Linked DNA regions of Danio rerio. The protein of the gene in region 1 interacts with the protein of each later gene in a pairwise test. Links are inferred from orthologs where the notes say so. Each region holds a gene or a part of one and is shown in the gene's direction. Other genes may lie near its edges.

The links.
Region 2: the proteins of arl6ip1 (region 1) and snx10b interact in binary tests that used the Homo sapiens proteins (3 or more experiments, as listed by UniProt). The two-hybrid records come from large-scale screens. The link is inferred for Danio rerio from reciprocal best matches to the Homo sapiens genes ARL6IP1 and SNX10.
Region 3: the proteins of arl6ip1 (region 1) and inpp5ka interact in binary tests that used the Homo sapiens proteins (3 or more experiments, as listed by UniProt). The link is inferred for Danio rerio from reciprocal best matches to the Homo sapiens genes ARL6IP1 and INPP5K.

The regions. Positions count from the first base shown.
Region 1 is NC_133178.1:29,894,366-29,898,020, reverse strand, and holds part of arl6ip1 (ADP-ribosylation factor-like protein 6-interacting protein 1), read left to right. Parts: intron 1-1,180; coding exon 1,181-1,298; intron 1,299-2,142; coding exon 2,143-2,227; intron 2,228-3,655. UniProt on the Homo sapiens protein: Positively regulates SLC1A1/EAAC1-mediated glutamate transport by increasing its affinity for glutamate in a PKC activity-dependent manner.
Region 2 is NC_133191.1:22,386,663-22,391,105, reverse strand, and holds the start of snx10b (sorting nexin-10B), read left to right. Parts: upstream 1-1,527; 5' UTR 1,528-1,606; coding exon 1,607-1,699; intron 1,700-1,778; coding exon 1,779-1,879; intron 1,880-2,536; coding exon 2,537-2,638; intron 2,639-3,200; exon of another isoform or gene 3,201-3,747; intron 3,748-4,044; coding exon 4,045-4,261; 3' UTR 4,262-4,443. UniProt on the Homo sapiens protein: Probable phosphoinositide-binding protein involved in protein sorting and membrane trafficking in endosomes. Plays a role in cilium biogenesis through regulation of the transport and the localization of proteins to the cilium.
Region 3 is NC_133190.1:36,476,811-36,480,465, forward strand, and holds part of inpp5ka (inositol polyphosphate 5-phosphatase Ka), read left to right. Parts: intron 1-2,568; coding exon 2,569-2,652; intron 2,653-2,729; coding exon 2,730-2,834; intron 2,835-3,655. UniProt on the Homo sapiens protein: Inositol 5-phosphatase which acts on inositol 1,4,5-trisphosphate, inositol 1,3,4,5-tetrakisphosphate, phosphatidylinositol 4,5-bisphosphate and phosphatidylinositol 3,4,5-trisphosphate.

The DNA.
Region 1 (3,655 bases):
AGATAAGGTTTTGTTGCACATTCTCAATGGGGAAAGTGTCCAAGCAACATTCCTCCCTCAGCTCCACCATGTATCACCACATTTAAATGTACCCTTATGAAACCTGCAGAAACCTTGCATGCAATATTGTCACAACATTGCGCAAGCTGATATTATCTTGTATGCCACTCATTTTGCAGTATATTGTTATTATTCTTTATAAACTGCGTTATTATTGAATGAGCTACATTTTAACAACATACAAAAAATAGTTATTGTTTAAAAAGCATATACCTTGCTGAATAGGTGTTTATTTTGAAAAACTATTTACTTAAAAAAGTGATGTATAGTTGGAATGTTTGTAGCGTGAATGGAATTTGGATCCACTGTTTGATATCTTGTTACTGTCACATGATTTACCAGCAACCATTGTTTCACTTAACTGCCATTCATAAACTCTTACCCTTGGCCTCGTGGCATAATGAAGCGTCCATCAGATGAGCACTGCAGAATCTCAGTGGAAGTAATGGGTCTTCTCTGTGCTTTTTGTTGAATCTTTTATGAGTACTGAGAGTTCGGACATTTTACATGTTGTTGGAAACCATTTTTCCCCTACTATGTGTTCTATGAAGAAACAATTTCTCCCAACCCCCAACAACAAAAATTGAAATGTCTTGTTGTTTAAGATGCAATGAAATGCTTTGAAATGTGCATTTTTTAATTCAGTGTTTGGTGCAATCACAACTGAAACATGAAGACAGGGTTTGAAATAGTAGCTCTTTCCCTTGAAAAACAAAACAAAACAACCAATAGTGTTTCATTTTGTTCTGCCAGTGAAAGCGGTTGAGCTCAACCTCATCAAATGAGTCGAGAAGGGGGTGGGTCATGTCAGATACTGGAGAGCATTTGACTGGACAAAAGATTTGATGTAAAACCTGAAGTATGCAGTAGTCAAGTTTGGAAATCTGGGCATAACTTCTAAATGTAAACTTTGTCACTGTTTTGGAGCACATTAGCTTATAGATATTCTTAAAGCTAACATACGGATACTAACATCTAAAAAAATAAACTTTTAATTTCGCAAAACATTTATTACTTGCTATTGTGGTGGTTAAATGTATTTTAGATATTGTAATTAATTAGTTCTAGTTTGGGGAGGGTTTTGAGGAGTCTAATTATCTATTTTTTTGTTCCTGCACAGGACCACAGAACAGCAGCAGCGTTTTCATGAGATCTGTGGAAACCTTGTGAAGACTCAGCGCCGTGTGCTCGGCTGGTGGAAACGTCTGTTTGCCCTGAAGGAAGAAAAGCCAAAAATGGTATTCTGCTTTGACTTGTTAAACACCTTCATTGTTTTATGTCTAAAGAACTCACTAGTGACTAATACCACTCCCTGCGAGCTGCATTTTTTACACCACTGAATCTGTTTTATCACTGTTGCTCAGCAGTTGAAATAAACAAATGTAACGCAGACCTAATTCATAGCTTATACATAATTAATAATTTTGCCCTTAAGAGAACATATTTAAGGGCTTTGTCATTGTTGATGTCACAATATACATAGATTAAATGGTATTAATGAGAGCAGATGTGTAAGCAGCAGCCCTCATTATCTCTTATATATTCTTAAAACATTCACAAGCAAGCAAATGAACAAAAGATTTTTTAGATTTAAAGTTAATGGTGATCAAAAGTGAAAATGCATTTTCTAATATTACAAAACCATTGTTTCAAATGAAGGCTGTTCTTTTGAAGTTTGTTTACTAAAGACTCGTGTATCTGTTTCCAGGTGTGGTGTAGTAAATGAGGATTCAGCTTTATCACACAGATCATTTTAAAATGTCAAATGAAATGTTTTTTTTGTTACTGTAAAATGTTACCGTAATGCTGCATTTACTCTCTTTGTGTACGAATCAATATAACTTTTATTAAATGAGACTTCCAGAAAGTACCTCTCTTTGGGGTTTTATGCTGTTAATTGCTATGCTAAGAGCTTGACTTGGCTTGTGAATGTGAATTTATCACTTGACTTTATGAAAAGACTTAACTTTATGATAATACACACTTTTATGAGCTGGATGACAGAAGTAGGCAACTGAGAACTTGATGTCATTGTGAAAGTTTGGTCTTCCTCCATGTAACACTTGTTTTACTTCTCTGTAGTATTTCCTCTCTGTGATCAGCAGTCTTGTGGCTGTGGCCTGGATTGGACAACAAGTTCATAACCTCTTCCTCACCTACCTGATAGGTATGCTGTTTCGTAAAAACAATGCAAGTCTGTTACAGCAATGCATTGCTTATGTCCAGCTTGTTGCATTGCAAAAAAATAATTATTATTGTTTATTTATAATTATTAGATTTTAAGCTAGCAGAATATGTAATTATTTATGAATCTGACACAACTGTGCAAACTGTAGAAAAGTCATTGACCTCTTATCAAAGCTAGACACGTGCAAACACACTAGGCTGCGCAACAAAGAGGTCATTGTACTTGGCTCATGGAAATTCACAATTTCTATCCAGAAATATGTGCTGCCTCTTGCCCTCCCTGCAAACAGGATTTATTAAATCTCCCTGTACCAATTGGGGGAAACATTCAAGTGAGCTGAAGTCATTTTCCATTTGTTTTAAATCCTATTTATATTTTATCCTCGTTTGCCCTGCTTGCTTGTTTGTTAAAAAGAAAATAATCTTAAGACACTACGCTAGCCTAAACAAGAGTCTCTCTGCATCTATATATCGCTGGTTTCATGATGATTGGCATGATGGTGAGGTAAATGTAAATAAGTGTAAAAATGTGTTGCCTCTAAAAGGGTTAGTTCACCCAAAAAATAATACTTCTGTCATTTTACTCACCATTTACTTGTTTCAAAACTATTTGTTTCTTCTGTTTGAACACAAAGAAATGTAATGTATATTTTGAAGAATGCTGGTAGCTGTAATTTTTTTTTTTCCTTTAAGTAACTTACCCAATGCTGTTTTTTTACCAAGGATCCTTAGCCTCAGCCTTTATTTACACAATCAATGCATGCATGATAAAGTATTGAGTAATTAAGTAAATTTAAGTTTTTTGAAATTCGATATGCAAAAAGACATCTGATACTCATTTGATACATTTTATTGTATCTCGTATGCAAATATAATCTTAACTATAGTTAATGTTTCATATAGTTTCATGGCTGCTGCATGGAGGGCGCCATAGCGACCAGCGTCTTCCGGTAAAATGCTAAAAACTTCCGCTTACAGCGAGTACAACTGGTAATTTGCGCTCCGAAAATGAGTTTCAATGACGTTTTTAATGGATAACTGTTTTTGTGACACACAACTTAGAAATGTGTCTGTTAAAGCCGTTATAATTTGTCACATGTGGTTCAAGCGCGTCAGAAATACGAGAAAAACGTTCTGCTAGTTCACGTGTCTGCCGTCAGAAATACTGTGTGTGTATTTCTGTGTGACACACACACACACACACACACACACAGAGAGGCCCCGAACACCATTCATAAATTTAAAAGAGTGAAGGGTGCCAACAACCAGCATTCTCCAAAAGATCTTCTGTTGTGTTCAACAGAGGAAACTCTGTTTTAAACCACATTAGGAAGTCAATAATGTGGTCATTTTCATTTTTAGTGATCTATCCATTTTAAGAAAAAAGTAAAATGATGATAATACAAAA
Region 2 (4,443 bases), on another chromosome or scaffold:
TCTAAGCTAAGCAATGCTAAAAATGCTCTTATTAGACCCGGAGATTAGGAGAGCCATGTAATAATATAACTTAGCAGTCAGATTCTGCAAACAAAAGATGTTTTTTGTTTTTTAATAATAACTTAACAGATTATGTTTTTGGAATAGTTTTTAAAACTGTATTGTAACAATAAACAGCTAAGCATCTGCTTTAAAGGAACACTTCAAGTTTTTTGAAAATAGCCTCATGGAAGCACTTTTAGCTTAGCTTAGCTTAGCATAGATCATTAAAATAGATTACACCGTTTAGCTTTTTTTGTAATAACAGACGGATACTCATAACACTGTGCAGAAAATGTCACAAATCAAAGATTTGATGTTAAATCTTTAGCCCTGCTCACTCATAAAGCACTGTGGATTACATTTTTGTGAGTTTCTCTCTGAATATATTTAAAACCAAAAATTTAAATGTCCTTGTCCTTTGCATTTCTTCAGTTGAGCCATTTGCAATACTTCATGGTATTGTGACTTTTCTTTTTTGAATCCACACTTTCCAATTTTCATGGAAATTTTTTGCTTCAAATCAAAGTTTTAAATATTGTAATTCACCTCATATCTGGTTGGTGCGTTTCGTGTCTTCTAATGCTTTAAAGCCTTTTAACAAATCCTTATGGGCAAAATATTTCCTGAACCAGCATTTATGTGCATCATTATAGTTTTGTTCTTGGTGTAAACAGGCCATTTTAAAAGTTATACTGTGATAAATCCTTTGATCTGTGAGCGAGTATTGTGACTCATAAATCGGTAGATTTGCACAAAACTAATTCTAGAATGTAGCCTGTACAATCACACTTTATTTGTGACATTTTTATTTTTGGTCAGTTTCACTTTCATAACAGCAGTATGATTAGGCCATTTACTGTAGGCTGAGGTTTTGCTGAAGTCCTTTGTCTTGCTGTTTCACTTTTCTAAGTTCCTTTTTTCTGTAAAGATCACTGTAACATTAAATCTCTAGGTGCTTTAAATAAACATAGACTTACCTCAGAAGTGTTGTGATCGTTCTTATTAACATGAAAATTTGCAGTCATCAGTAAAAGTGTTTTAAAATCAAATAACTCTAATTATCGTTGGTATATTATAAAATAAAGTCAGTTCCTAGTAGATTGTTCTTTTAAAAATCATAATGCTCATAAATATAGTTTATAATAGCCATTTTGTTTTTATTTTAAGAGGTTTGAAACCACTACAGGTACATGAATAACTCTTTAAGTACTGCTATGGTTGTTTTAAACACGCAGGCATTATGATTATGAGACCCATTTTTTCCAGCTGCTTTTTCCTGCTCCTTTTATTTTTATGGTGCAGCTAGTCTGCTGTGTCTCTAGTGGCTGGTAAAAATGAAGCACCGCTGTCAGTCACAGGCACAAAATGAGCTGTGATGTTTTTCCCAAGTCTACAGTTATCATGAATCAGCCCCAGTTGGTCAACAAGACCAATGTCTCATGAAAATACTTCCTACTTTATTCTTCCCCATTTTTTATCTCAAAGCTTGCTGTTGTGTGTCACTGTCCAATAAAAGTTAGTGAGTGAGTGTATTCGTTTGCTCTTTTCCATAATTCTTGGACTTATGCAGGAATTCACTGGCGTTTGGGTGAGGGATCCTCGCATCCAGAAGGAAGATTTCTGGCATGCCTTCATGGATTATGAAGTTTGTATACATGTAAGTGCAGTCGTATGCAAATGGTTAAAACAAAAGTCAGATGCTTCCTGGTTGTTATTTGTATTTTGTATTTGCTTAGACAAACAGCTTGGCGTTCACTAAGAAGAGCTCCTGTGTGCGGCGGAGATTCAGCGAGTTTGTGTGGTTAAGAAAAAAGCTACAGGAAAATGCCTTGCTCATGTATGTAGCCGTTGCATCTGCTCTTGCTATTTATATCTTTTATTACTAATGGTTATTCATATGTAGGCAAGACTTCAATACATGTGAGAGTATCTGCATACTTATTTTATTAATATTATTATACTTTTAATTTGAAAGAATATATTGAGAATGTATGAATTTGAAAAAAAATCAATTATAATAAATGTTATATATATATATAATTTTTATATATTAATGATTTAATAGATTTTTTTAAATTAAATTAATACAGACAAATCCCCAGACCTTGTGTGTGGAAGTCATTGGTTATAGTTGAATTACATTTCCAATGTAGTTTTTTAAAAAAAATAATAGATACTTTTAATCAAGTAATAATTTTACGGAGTTATTTTATTACTATTTTAATATTTAACATTATGTTTACTTAGTCTATTTCAATTACTTGCCAACACTTTTGTTAGTTTGTAAGGATTTGCACATTTAGGTTTTCCATCTAATATTTTTATATTTGTTTTATTTAATTTTTAGTATAATCCTCAAACATATATTCAATAGTTTTGGCTAACAATATCAACACTGCTAATTGTTAAGCAGCTGTACTGTAGACATTTTAAAATTTCTGTCATTGGGCAATTTCCATTGACTCAAACTTAACCTTTTGTATTTGAATTGCAGAACACATATACCTAAACTTCCTCCAAAAAACCCCTTCTTCAGTCTCAACAATGCAAAAGAAATTGGAGCCCGTATGGAGGGGTTAAGGAAATTCCTAGAAGCGTAAGTGTCTGAATAACCACACACACACACACACACACACACACACACACACACACACAAAACATTAAATAAAAACAAAACCATGACTCACAATCAAGGGTGGATTAAGTGATTTTGGGGCCCTTAGCAGTTCCAGCCATGGAACCAACAGTCCTAAAATGCACCCTTTTTAGTTTTATTCATTTTTATTTATTTCAAGAATTCACACTTAGCTGATGATTGATTATAAACAAGTTTGGCATGCTTACCCAATAAAGAGCCCTGAGCTCAAAAGGTCCTTGAGCCCTGGGCTCCCTCCTGTTTGCAGGGCGCAAGGGGAGCTCTGAGCTCAGGTAGCTGATCTCTGGAGAACTCCCCCCTTGATGACAGAAAAGGATTGCTATGGAGAGATATGCTACTGCATGGGAGTTTGACTGTAGTGCTAAATTTAGATTGATCAATGAACTTGTAGTGCATGTTTTTGGAATGTTGTAGGAAACCAGAGAACCCGGGGGCAACCCACGCAAGCACGGAAAGAACAAGCTAACTTCACACAGAAACGACAGCCAGCCTGTTAAAGAACTAGAACCGGTGACTTTCTTCCTGTGAGGCAACAGTGTTAATCACTGGGCCACCGTGCCACCTTATGAAGAGAAAGGTGGAGGAGTGGGGATGGAATGGGGGATTCTTCAAATCGAAGATGACTGTAGTGAGAAACCCTGTCTCTTTAGAGTGGGTTAGGATTTGTTTGATTGGTGGATCAAACATTGTTAAAGCAGAACCAGCCGTGTTCAATCATAAACACGTGATCCTCTCGAAATTTGTTTATAAATAAACTTCACTTATTTTGCAGGGTTTTTTATATCACGGAATCTCCTTTTTCATGTTTTATCTCAATGAAATCTCTACATTTTAAGTGATTTGTGTTGTTTACGTGAACTCACATCTAAAAAAAATAAATGAATAAATTGAAAATAATAAATATTTTTTAAACAATTGAATCTCTACCTGACTTGACTGCTGGACTGCTCCATGATTGGGACAAATTTGCATAGATTGTATAATTATGGTAAAATGTAAATTCTAAGACCCTCACAATACAAAATATGATAGAAAACAATGCTATTTGTATAATTTATACTTCTTGGTATTTGTTGGTCCCCTCAAATTTCCTGAGGCCCTAAGTGGCTGCTTACTTTGCTTATTGGTTAAATCTGCCCCTGCTCACAATCACTTTTGATGTCTTGAGCATTTGCTTGTTTTTCCATATGATCTTGTAAGACTTTTCTGATAAAAGAATGAATAAATAAAAATCAAACTTTTTGGTACAAATGAGATTTTACAAGTCTATTTAACAATCCACTAATAACTAAAGTAACTGAAATGGTTATGGTTTGATTAATCAGTAAAATGTTTACTTCTTCCAGGGTGGTTCACAGTGCGGTTCTGCTGTCAGACAGTTGCTTGCACCTCTTCCTACAGTCCCAACTAAGTCTGAAAAAAATTGAGGCCTGTGCTGAAGGCAGGACTCGCTACACTGTATCCGAGGCCATTCACAGTTTCAGTTCTGGACACAAACGCTTTGATTCACTGTGTGAAGAGAACATGGAAGAAGAGCAATGTGTGCAATGTGAATCAGAGTGATTATTTTTGGACAATAAAATGGAGTCAACGCACATTATGCTTTTAGATATAAAAATACAACCTCTGTCACTGTTGTTATGCCTTTTTAAAAAGATAGTTTGTACTGTTTAAGGTAGGACTACCAAAATGTACACTTTAGGGAATATATACGTAGGCCTACCCAACGTGCCAGTTATAGACCC
Region 3 (3,655 bases), on another chromosome or scaffold:
CCATAGTTGGGTAAACTTTACTGAGCTCAGTAAATTGGAGAGTACAACTAGTAAATTTTTTCTTGAAAATGAAAAAATGAAAAAAAAAATAACGATAGTCTTATCAAGACTTTCAGAATAAGGAAAAAAATGTGTGAGACTGATAATTGCAACATTAAATTTACTGTCCTGTCAAGACACTGCATTAGTAATGCTTCGCATAAGCGGTAATTTAATGCAAAGGTACTATAATACATACATAATGACATATAAACATACATGCGTTTAAAAAAAATCTAAATATTAAAAACTTTCTAGGGTTTAAGATGCTGATGACTATTATGCACATCTTAACAATCTTGTGAAATGGGTCATATTTAAAACCACACCCCATTTAACCTGAGCTCCGCCCCTACTCAATAATCAGTTTCAGTTAAAAGTACATTTGTATCAGCTTGCATCCGAAATCACCTACTACTCGGGTAGGTACTACATTTGAATTTACTACACGACTGCTAGAAAAGTACTTTCTATATAGTATGAATGTGAGGATGAATTGAATTCTGACATACTTCCATTTGTCTTTATCATGTGACCTACCCAGTTGCGCGGCTTTACTCTTATTCATGAATTCTCTCACATTTTATCATGGGATAGCATACTGTCCATTGGATGCACACTTCAGAATCGTGCCCATAGTAGTAGATCATCCACGCACTTCTCGCCTACTGTTTTTTGAATATTATGAATTTTAATATACAACTCGGCTCGCATAGTGTTTTTAGCGTACTATTTAGTAGCAAAGTATGCAATTTCAGACACAGCCACTGAAATAAGTCTCAGCAACTGCAAAAACAATTCGTTTTTCCTATTCGTTTTTCCTTTAGAGATTTTAAAAGGTTTTTTATTAAAGTGTTATTGACCTTGTTCTGCAATGCAGTGCGCCCGTTTTTGCAATTGTTTCAGAACTCTGATTCAGTAACATTTAGTGGAAATGACTAGGCATAATAAACGGCTTGTTTTACAAACAAGTGTTTTTATGACTATACATAAAAAGAAGAAGAACATAATAAGAAAATCTTAGTTTGCAACATTAAGCAGCATAACAAGCTCTTTTTAACATGTAAAAACCAATGCTAGTGAATGAGACTGCAAGTGTCGAGCCAAAAAGATTCCAATGGCTGCCCCCGCTCATCTATAAAGAATAAGGCCAGTAAACCATAATCCAAACCAACCAGCCGAGATCAAATCGAAACATTGGGTGTTGTAATTCAAGCAAAAAAGTATATAGAAAACAAACAAAAATATGAAGGTACAATAATGTGTACATAATGGTTTAAGGGAAGTTTGTTTATAAACTTATTTCGAGAGGATCACGTGCTTATGATTTATCACGGCCGGTCTCGTATTAGCTAATCATTATCTTCCAATCATATGAGCCCTAAGCTACTATAAGAACCACAGTTTTCAGTCCACTTTATCTTCGTTTGGAAGAAACCCCCCTTCCTCCCCAAATCTCCTCCTTTACCATTGATCGGGTGGCACGGCGGCCCAGTGGTTAGCACTGAAAGCCCCACAGCAAGAACACTACCGGCCTAATTTCGCCTAGCCGGTGGGCGCTTCTATGAGGAGTTTGTATGTTCTCCCCGTGTTCCCGTGGGTTTTTCCCGGGTTCTCCGGTTTCCTCCCACCGTCTAAAGATATACATCATGCTGAAGAATCAAGCACTCTTTTAGCCCCCCTTCTCAAGTATTCCCTTAGCTATCGCAGCCGGGGAGTTCTGAGATCCACCGAGCTCAGGCTCCCCTCTAGCTCTGCGAATGGGGGGAAGCCCCGGGCTCGAGGATCCCTTGAGTTCGGGGCTCTCTCCCGGGAAAGCATGCCAAACAAGCTTTGATGGATCATCAGCTAAGTGTGAACTCTTAAAATGGGGGAAAAAATACAATCCTACAAAGCATTGCAGATGATACATTTGAATTAAAAATGACTGAGAAACATAAAACTAATCATTGAATGTGGATTATTGTATAAGTATAAAACGTATTTCAAGTTTATTGTAAAAATATTCTTATGTAATATGCATATGCAGCATTCACTTAATGCAGTGGGCTGAGCTAAAGATGTCTTTTGGCAGGCTTTGTTTGCTATTATTCTTTGATCGGTAGAGCATCTGTACAGCATAATTGAGTTACAGTAATTACTGTACTGTAATTGAGTTTTTCTGCATAAATTGCTATTAAAACACATTGTTATAAAAAGTATAATTAAAGGCACAGTATGTCATTTTAGCTGCTAGAGAGCTCATTCACAACAAACAAAAATGTAGTTTGATGTTGCTGTGAGTGTGGAATCATGGGAGTTGTGGTCTTAATTACATATTGTGCCTTCACAAGTTCAACAAAAGTGTATTCAATTGATTAACAACCACTGGCAGAACTCACAACAAGTCTGCTTTTAAAGTTTCATCATTTTCTGTAAAAAAAATATATATATATATTGTGAAAACGCAAATCTGAACCTGACTGCTGCTCTTGTGAAATGAGCTTTATCCAGGATTTTTGTAATACAGACCCGTTTGTCACCTCACAGGTTGGGTTTAAGAGTGTTTCCGACTACATCACGTATGCATGGGTAAAAGATGACCAGGTGTCTTTCAATGAGGAGCTCTTTCAGGTTTGCAAAATTTACTGTCTGTGTTTTTTAATATAATCAACAGAGTCGATTCATATATTGCATTGTCATTTTTACAGGTTTATATGAACAAAGATGAAATTCCAGTTCTTGGGGGCGAGTGTGTGCTGTGTTATTACAGCAGCAACCTGCAGTGTATTGTGGGTATTAGTCAACCTTTCAAGGTAAGCAACACGTCAGTTTTGCGTATTTATCAAACATCAAAATAATAAAAGTGTAATACAGCATTTGTGCATATAGAAATTGAATTATTTATTATTGTAATTTCTTGGAAGTAAACAATCATCATTCTCGTACTTAACTGTGAATTTAAAAATTGGAGTTCGATTTAAGATTTTTTTGCCACAAAGTGAGAGTAAAGCCCCAGTCAGATCACACGATTTTTATTGTCGGTTACGAAAGTCACTATGTCAGATTATGCATTTTTGTCTAGATAAAATCTTGACTTGTCGTAGGTTCCTTCACGATCAGTCATCCCGTGACGTCTACGAGCTTCATAAGCTATCAAAGTGTTGCTATAACAATATTTCCTATCTCAATTTTGATTTTTTTTTAATCTTATTTCAACCTCAGTAAACACTGATGCTTGCTGACAATTAGGCTACATTATTTAAGGTAATTTGTTATGACATTGATACGATCAAACGTATATTTCCTTTTTAATATTAAAATATTTTCATTTAAATCGAAATGTATATTTTCCAGCCATGGGTTGCTTATAAAACAAACATGGAGAAAATGAAAGCACATCAGCACAGAGGAAAAATCAGATGCTTAAAATAATGACATAATATAAAATTTGCAATTATATGACAGAGCTTTGTGATACAACAATTACAGTGGAGCATTAATTAAATCCTTATTTTCCACGGGGCAGAACACATCATCACTGCACAGTTGAGTAGCATAGTGAACAGGCACAAACAAAAGTTATAATTTGTATATTTTTCTTGGGAAAAAAAATGAATTGAAACAAATTTCGTTT